2 linked regions of the Oryctolagus cuniculus genome follow. The protein of the gene in region 1 interacts with the protein of each later gene in a pairwise test. Links are inferred from orthologs where the notes say so. Each region holds a gene or a part of one and is shown on either strand. Other genes may lie near its edges.

Evidence for each region.
Region 2: the proteins of KIF5B (region 1) and PRKAR2B interact in binary tests that used the Homo sapiens proteins (3 or more experiments, as listed by UniProt). The two-hybrid records come from large-scale screens. The link is inferred for Oryctolagus cuniculus from reciprocal best matches to the Homo sapiens genes KIF5B and PRKAR2B.

Annotation. Positions count from the first base shown.
Region 1 is NC_091444.1:102,452,197-102,456,607, forward strand, and holds part of KIF5B (kinesin-1 heavy chain), read right to left. Parts: intron 3,223-4,411; coding exon 3,034-3,222; intron 2,419-3,033; coding exon 2,301-2,418; intron 1,739-2,300; coding exon 1,677-1,738; intron 1,580-1,676; coding exon 1,470-1,579; intron 1-1,469. UniProt on the Homo sapiens protein: Microtubule-dependent motor required for normal distribution of mitochondria and lysosomes. Can induce formation of neurite-like membrane protrusions in non-neuronal cells in a ZFYVE27-dependent manner.
Region 2 is NC_091434.1:137,089,638-137,094,048, reverse strand, and holds part of PRKAR2B (cAMP-dependent protein kinase type II-beta regulatory subunit), read left to right. Parts: intron 1-2,097; coding exon 2,098-2,204; intron 2,205-4,411. UniProt on the Homo sapiens protein: Regulatory subunit of the cAMP-dependent protein kinases involved in cAMP signaling in cells. Type II regulatory chains mediate membrane association by binding to anchoring proteins, including the MAP2 kinase.

The DNA.
Region 1 (4,411 bases):
GGGCCAGGAGTTTCATCTGGTTCTCCCACATGGGTGGCAGAGGCCCAAGCACCCGGGCCATCTTCCAACGCTTTCCCAGGCCATTATTAGGGAGCTGGATGGGAAGCAGAGCAGGCAGGACAGGAAGTGACATTGCAGATGGTGGCTTTACCCACTACTGCCACGATGCTGCTCCCTATCACTTTTAATTTTTAAATGTATTTATTTGAGAGACAGAGAAAGACAGAGCTCCCACCTGCTAGTTGACTCCCTAGATGTTCACCATGGCTGGGGCTAGGAACTCAGTTCAGGTCTCCAGTGCGGGTGCAGCATCCCAACCACCTGAGCTCTCACCTCTGTCACACTGGGTCTACACAAGTAAGACACTAGAGCCAGGAAGAGGTGGGCACTGAAGCCAGGTTCTCGGATATGGGACTCGCAGGTGTTTAACTGCTAAGGCTAAACGTTGTCCCAATTTTTTGAACTCTATCATCTCATTTTTCAGACACTCAAAATATCTTCTGTTATCCTGTCCTCCATAGGTGCAGAAAGAGATAGGACCTTTTGGTCATCCAATATTTTTCATGTTTTAAATAAAAATTATGATTTCATTTTTCCATGTCTTTCATTTCCTTGAATCCTTATTACTGCTTTCGTTAAGTACTAGTTAGATCTATGCCCCAAACTTCTGTTTTGTTGTTGCCATCTTCTGGTTTCTATTCAAATCATTACACCCATCCCATGTAGGTGAACATGATTACCGAAGTAGAGAAATGTCTTCTAGGTAAACTAAGAGGACGACTTCTATTAAAAAACAAAAACCAACCTCTAAACCCTTAATTTCTAATAAAAATTTTATCAGTTAAGAATCAAAAAAACAAAGAAATAGAAGTTAAGCGGGCCAGCCCAGTGGTGTAGCAGGTAAGATTGCCGCCTGCAATGCTGGCATCCCATATGAGCACCAGTTCGAGTCCTGGATGCTCCTCTTCTTATCCAACTCTCAGGTCCTTGGGCCCTTGCACTCATGTGGGAGAACCAGAGGAGACTCCTGCCTCCTGGATTCCAATCGGCCTAGCTCCAGTTGTTGTGGCCAGTTTGGGGGAGTGAACCAGTGGATGGAAGACCTCTTTCTCTCTCGCTCTCTGCCTCTGTAACTCCGCCTTGCAAATAAACAAGTAAATAAATCAATCTAAAAAAAAAAAGTTAAATGATTTGAGGGAGAATGCAATAATGAGTTTAAGCTGAGGCTCTCTCTCTCTCTTTTTTTTTTTTTAACTTAGCATTTAGAGCAAACAACCTAAGAAAATCTTTCAGAACTTTTTAAAAATTTTACTCTACAGTGTGAAAATTCTTTATTTTCCAAGTCAAAAAATAGAATTTCCTTGAAAACAGGTTTCAAGTAAGGACATACTGACCACTAGTAACATTATTTCCTCTGAATTTTTTGCAGTTAGTTTCAAATATGTGAGAGAAAAGAAAAGTATACTTACTCTTGAAGGTCAGTGATAAGTTTTTCTTTTGCCTCAACTTCATCTCTCAAACTACTGATTTGTTTTTGATGGGTTTCTCTGTGGCTTTGGATCTGTTGTTCAACGGCTTGCTAAAGTGTTTGAGGGGAAAGAATGTTAGAGTCAGACTAATCAAAATCAGTAACAATGTATTAAAGCCATCAGAATCCAATCTAAGAACAAACTTGCCTTCACTTCATTTGCAGTCTGAACCTTATTTAAGTGCTCCTTTTCCATTTCATGGACTTTCTCTGTTTAGTTAGGGAAAGAAAGCAGAAGAACAAAGTCTTAAAAGAGTCCTCATATAAACCAATCATGTAAGCCAAAGGGACAAATGGGTCTTATGAGAAATAGGTTTTTCAAGAAACACTCAAAATTAAGTTATCCAAATATCACAAAGTAAATCTTGCACTCCAGGCTCAATAACGCGTTGACTACTATATTTGTGCTGATATTAAGCATTGTTTTTTCTTTGCCTAACCCCAGAACAGAGGGTTAAAGGGATGGTAGGCAAAGAAGTTAGTTTCTAAATCTACTTTAAGGTTTATATACAAGAGATCTTTAAGTCTCCTCATACACACACACACACACACACATAACAACTTCATAATCTTACAGGAAACTCCTAGACTGGCCATTTATATATTCAAACACAATTTTTTTAAAATGTTTCAAAGGCAACTTAAAATATATGATGTTTACTATTCCAAGTTACCCATATTCCTACTGTTCTTTATCAGTGTGAATACAAGTTTACTACAATCACCTAAAGGCAAGAAGGATTAACACAGAACATAAACTGGGAGCTAATACCTTGTGCTCGAAGCTGAACTAGTTCTTCACTGAGGGAGTCGACAGATTCTTCGAGCTGCCTTTTCTTCTGCTCCACATTTTGCAGGTATTCAGTCAATGACTTGATTTTGGCTTCATGCTTTTGGAAGAAATACACTGATATGAACAGGAGAAAAACCTCACACACACATTTTGTTGTTAAGAATATCTGGAGGTACAGTAATATCTAAGTATATTACATATGCAGAGGTATCATGTTGAGGGGGTCAAATTTTAAAATGATAGAGTTTATCAATACACTATTCATGCGTAGAGCTTCTACCACGTGCAAACTAAGGGACTAAAGGCTGAAATATGAGACAGTATTTTTAGAATTTTCTCCATCTAATATCACAGTCTTCCTCCTCCTTGCACAGATTCTATCTGGGGAATGATCCCACTCACTGAGTGGCCAAAAATGCCAGAAACCGTTCCTTGGTAGTACTCTCCACTTTGGAATTATTCTAGAGTCCTCCAAAATCATACCATTCGCATCTTTCTAGTACATTTCCATACTTAGTACACACACACTGACAGCTATAACCCGACTAAATCATTTGCACTATCACACTGTAGTAGTACAGGGAAAACTAACATTTTATTGTTACTCTAGAGACTCATTTTTCTGAAAGCTTTTATAATAAATAAAATATACTGATTTACTTCCACGTGGCTGTTAAAAAAAAATGAGGATACTTTGTTCTGTAACACATACTTGGGAGATGCGAAGCTGGCATGCTGCTAGCTCCTTTTCATTTTCTTCCATTTTTTTGTTGCTCTCGGTCTGTGTGCCTTCTAGCTGTTTGCAGCGTTTCACCATCGTCTTGACTTCTGACTTCATCTTGCTGATGTAGAGCCTGGCGACAGTGAACTCTTCGTCTATCATGCCAGTTCCCTCAGGCTGCTGGGAGAGAAAGTAAAATAAAAAGTAAAGCCAGAAAGTTCAGTGCGTCTTCCCAGTTAGACTCTAGTTCTCAAACCATTACAGAACCTTCAGTTATTCAACATTCACAAAAAGGCTGGAGCTAGTTTTTTTTTTTTTATCGTTTTTAATAAAGGATATAGAAGCAGAGCTTAATTTTTGCCTTTCTACTTTTTCAAACTTGGTATGTTAATACATGGCTTATGAGGAAATAAAATAAATGGAAACCTAATAAAAAAAAAGTGACTGACTTCTGCCTCTGTCAAGTTTTACATTTCCTTTTCACAAGACATCTTCATAAATTCATTGTCAACAATGTGCAAGTTCAGTCTAAAATTATTTTTCAAGATTCATTTATTTATTTGGAAGGCAGAGTTAGAGAGGGGCAGAGGCAGGGACAGAGACCTTCCATCCACGGTTCACTCCCAAAATGGCCACTACGGCCAGTGGTGGGTCTCGAACCAGTGCCCGTATGGGATGCTGGCATTGCAGGCGGTGGCTTTACCTGCTACACCACAGCGCCAGCCCCTCAGTTTAAAATTTAACAAGAGGATGTTTGGGGTGGTAGGGAAATGATGACTTTTGAGTATAACAAGGAAGAGCTGTGGCCATTGCACATTCCTTGACTTTTATAGATTTCATTAAAAAACTCCAATACTCAATGTCAAACTTATATGCATCTTGGATAGGAGGCAATAAAACTGTTGTTGCAGATATGATTGCTTACAAAAATCAAAAACAGAGACAAAACAAAAACACTCCTGGAACGAATAAGCCATGATAGCAAGGTTGCAGGATACAAGGTTAATATATGAAAGTCAGTCACTGCAGCCAGCGCTGTAGCATAGTGGGTTAAGCCTCTGCTTGTGGCACCGGCATCCCAAATGAGCGCCAGTCCTGGCTGCTCCACTTCCAATTCAGCTCCCTGCCAATGGCCTGGGAAGGCAGCAGAAGATGGCCCAAGTCCTTGGGCCCCTGCATCCATGTGGGAAACCCAGAGGAAGCTCCTGGCTCCTACCTTAGGATGAGCCAAGCTCCGGCCGTTGCGGCCATCTGGGGAGTGAACCAGGAGATTAAAGACCTCTCTCTGTCTCTCCCTCTCTCTGTAACTCTGCCTCTTAAATAAATTAATAAAACTTTAAAAAAGGAAAAAATTCAGTCACTGCTTCCT
Region 2 (4,411 bases), on another chromosome or scaffold:
GGAACTCACAGGTCACCTGCCAGCCTTGCCATCCAGAGCACCTCAGCCTATGCTCGCCTGCTCTTCCGTCCCATCTCCCTGGGACATCTGTCTTCTCCAGCTCTTTAGTTTGTTTATAAAAATAATAGACTTTGGCCTGGGCAGTGTCCTGACCAAGCGCTCAGAACCAAAGAACCCTCTGAGCCTTTTGATTTTCTGTTACTCCTCTACTGTTCAGTACTCTTCAGAGTGTTCCTCCATTCATTCTGAGGGAAGATTTCCTTTTTAAAAATGTGTCTGTTTCTGAAAAGCAGAGAGACGAGAGAAAGATCTTCCATCCTCTGGTTCAGTACTCAGCTGATCCAGGCCAAAGCCAGGAGCCAGAAACTCCCCAGCCAGGTCTCCCTCCCAGGTAGGTGGCAGGGACCCGTGTACTTGAGCCCTCTCACCTGCTGCCTTCCAGGGTGCACGTTTGCAGGCAGCTGGGTGGGAAGTGGAGGTCAGCTGGAACCCGGGCTCTGTACCGTGACATGCAGGCACTCCCAGCTGTGTCTGAGCCACTGTCCCAGACACCCGCCCGCCCCGGGCGGGGAGCGATCTCTCCTTCCTGGTTGGTTTGCAGAAGCTGGAGTTCGTCAGGAAGCCTCGTCAGGCGTGTATTCTCCTGGCAAAGGTTCCATCCAGTGGAAACGGCCCAGTGGTAGTGTTGGTGTTCCTGACCTGCCCACCCTCTCGAGGTGGCGGCCACGTGCAGGGCAGAAAGCAGGTGCAAGGATTTGCCACGGTCCTATCTCGGTGGCTTTAGCTTGGTTGTCTTTCGCTTTGGGTTCAGTTTTGGTTTTGTTGCTAAACCACAATGAAAAGGATTGGGGTTAGGGTCTTAATTTCCTGAGTTTATGTAGGTACATTCCCATGGTAACTATTATAGGGAAGTTTTACAAACAGGCATCACTGAAAGTAATAGTTTTGAGTAAGTTTTTTACTAAGATTATATGTCACAGGGCCAGTGTTGTGGCACAGCTGGTTAAACTGCTGCCTATGCCATTGGCATCCCACATGGAGTGCCAGTTAGAATCTCACCTGCTCTACTTCCAATCCAGCTTCTGTCGCTCCCCGTCTTCGTGGAGGAACGACACAGGACCCTGCGCTGTTCTTTCGTCTGCTCGGCCCTCCCCGGGTTTGCTGCTGGTTCTTCCCGGGTTGGCTACTATCCCTTCCACGGAGGGAATGGCCACATTCCCCACTTCCGCAGGGGAGCGGCACACTGCCGGCCGGTTCTCTCGGGGGCTGCACAGATGTTCCCCTTAGATGTTCCCCTTAGATGTTCCTGGTGCATGCCGTCTCTCTCCTCCTTTATAGTCCTCCTCTGCCAATCCCAACTCGGCTGCCCACACGCCGAGTACGCTGCTCTCCAATCAGGAGCAAGTCCTACAGTTTATTGGTTGAACTGGAGGCAGCTGTGCAGAAGCTGTTTACTTCTCTCCCAGCGCCATATTGTGGGAGAGCAGATGCATAGAATAAGTCTTAATTCCAGTAACTCAGTCTAGTCCGGATTGCTCCCCACAAGCTTCCTGTTAATGCACCTGGGAGGCAGTGCATTATGGCCCAAATACTTGGGTTTCTGCCATCCATATGGAAGACCTGGATGGAGTTCCTGGCTCCTGACTTCAGCCTGGCCCAACCTTGGCTGCCATGGCCATTTGGGGAGTGAACCAGTGGGTGGAAGATCTCTCTCACTGTCTCTCCATCTCTCTCTCTCTTTCTGTAACTCTTGCCTTTCAAATAAATAAAATAAGTCTTTAGGAAAAAAAGATTTTATTTCTCAGTGCATCTGATGGTTTGGCAGTTCATTTTTTAATTTTAAAGTGGTGACAGTTGCAGGTATTCTGAAATAGACTAAGTGTAATTACCTTCATTCAGATACTGAATGTGGGAACATCATCTCATTTGCATGTGTAAGGAGGACCACCCTGTGCATCTTCTTGACAACACTAATGGCAGTGGTGATGTTTTCATTTCTCTGAGCTTGTTCACAGAAACGTAAAAGTAATTACGGTTGCTTACGAAGATGCGCTTTGCATACACTTGAAGATTATATCTTATCTTTTTAAAAAACAGGAGCAGATGTCTCAAGTGTTAGATGCCATGTTTGAAAAACTGGTCAAGGAAGGGGAGCATGTCATCGACCAAGGCGACGATGGGGACAACTTTTACGTCATCGACAGGTGAGTCCCACCGGCCTCATGACTGCCAGTCAAGGAACCTTTTGTGTAAAATCTGAGCAGTTACCAAGACAGCTGCCAAGTTGGTGGGTGGCAGTCGCTGTTCCCTCTTTACCCTCTGCTGCATTCCAGGCTCTGTAAGCTGTGTGCGTGCATGCGGTGAAACCACAGCAGAGCGTGAAGGAGGCCTGGTTTGGGTAGGAGTTGGTGGATGTTGGTTAATTTAACCTGTAAATCTCAGTCACTCAGTGTGCACATCTGATTGTTGCTAAATTATGAGAGAATGGTATGTACTAGCATCCGTGGTCGTAGGTACTAATTAGAGAACAGAAACTTAATACAGCAACAGCTAGAATGTTAACTCACAGTGTAACTCTGTATGTGTTATGTTTTTAAGAAGCTTCTTTTTTTATTAACTGTGAAAATAAAGCATGATTTTAAACAATACAGTTCTTAGGAAGGGCAGGCTTAAGGTGAAGAGTTAAGCCATTTTTCTCAACGCTTCTGCCTCATCCATACACCATAGTGCATCTGGATGTATCCTTCCAGAAATTGCTTGTGCATTATTATATCTGTCTTTGAAAACTCTGTGGAGGGGTTATTATAGTTAGATGAGAAGGCATGCATGTATATTGGAAACCTGACTTCAGAAACCCGAAGTCATGCTTCAAGCCATCTAAGAACGATGCACCTGTGCGATAAACAGAGGAGTCCCAAGGGAGACCCAAGCCTCTGTTTCCTCATCTTAGTGAAACAGTGATGAGTGTTCGCAGGACCGCTGGCCTCCGGCCTGGTTTGCTGGATTGCGTTTGTCCTCTGCGTAGATGTGTGTTCAGCTCCAAGGCCTCGGTGACAGCCCTGGGGCAGCGTCTTTTATGCATGAGTGTGTGCTCTGTGAATCCAGGGTCGCCTCATGACCCTGGTGACCTGTAGCTCCGGCACCAGCCTGGACCTTGGAACAGAGCAAAGCCAGTTACCCCACAAGTAACTCCAAGGCATGGCTCCGGTGTCACCGACAGCTTTCATCCCCTGAGCCGCCTCAGGGTGCTTCCAGCTCTGTGTGTTTCGCTGCAGGGGAATCCGAGAACCCCATACAACACAGTGTGCCTCCCTTTTTTTTTTTTTTAAGTGGGTAGTTTTGACTCTAAAATCCTCCTTGGATTTGTATGTGCTACCTCTCCTTTTCACTAGATCCTGTTGATCCCTTTCTCAGATGAAGGTAAAACACTCAGATGCACACAAGGGCTGAGACTTGGTCAGGTCAGCCAGGTCTCCCGGCCCTGTTGCTCCTTCCCCAGCCTGCACTGCCTGGTGCCGTGCATTTTCAGGGAAGAAACCTGTAGGAACAGCAGCACACGAGAACTCGCGCGGACTCACTCCTGCTGTGATTGCAGGAGGACTGGCTACACATGTACGCGATATCCTTGAGACAGTTGTCCATGAATTATTATTATTATTTTTGACAGGCAGCGTTAGACAGTGAGAGAGAGAAACAGAGAGAAAGGTCTTCCTTCCGTTGGTTCACCCCCCAAATGGCCGCTACGGCTGGGCTGGGCCGAGCCGATCCAAAGCCAGGAGCCAGGTGCTTCCTCCTGGTGTCCCATGCGGGTGCAGGGCCCAAGCACTTGGGCCATCCTCCACTGCACTCCCAGGCCACAGCAGAGAGCTGGCCTGGAAGAGGGGCAATCGGGACAGAATCTGGCGCCCCGACCGGGACTAGAACCCGGGGTGCCAGCGCCGCAAGGCGGAGGATTAGCCAAGTGAGCCGCGGCACCAACCCATGAATTACATTAAAAACCAGTTGGTTCTTTTCTTTTACTCATGAACCTGCTTTTCTCCTATGTGTTTCTAGAGCCCCTAGTGTTCCTTTATCAGTTACAGTCTTCCTTTTCTAATCGGAAAAGCCACTTTTTTTTTTTTGCCACCATCACACCCGTTTTGTCTTTGCTAGGGCTGCTAGGGCTTAACGAGCACAGCAAAGCCCAAGAATCCCTTCTGTGTGCCCTCACCTGGGCTTCAGCAAGCCTTGGAGTCACGCTGTGTGTGGGATGACACTGTCCACTCCAAGAATGTGGCTGAGAGCCAGATGGCGTGTGGTCCAGTGGCCGGGAGAGAGATGAGCACAGTAAAACTAGAAAATGACCAGGGTTGGATACCTGGTCTGAATTTCTCTATCATTTTGAACTTTAGGCTGAGGGTTAACCTAAGTG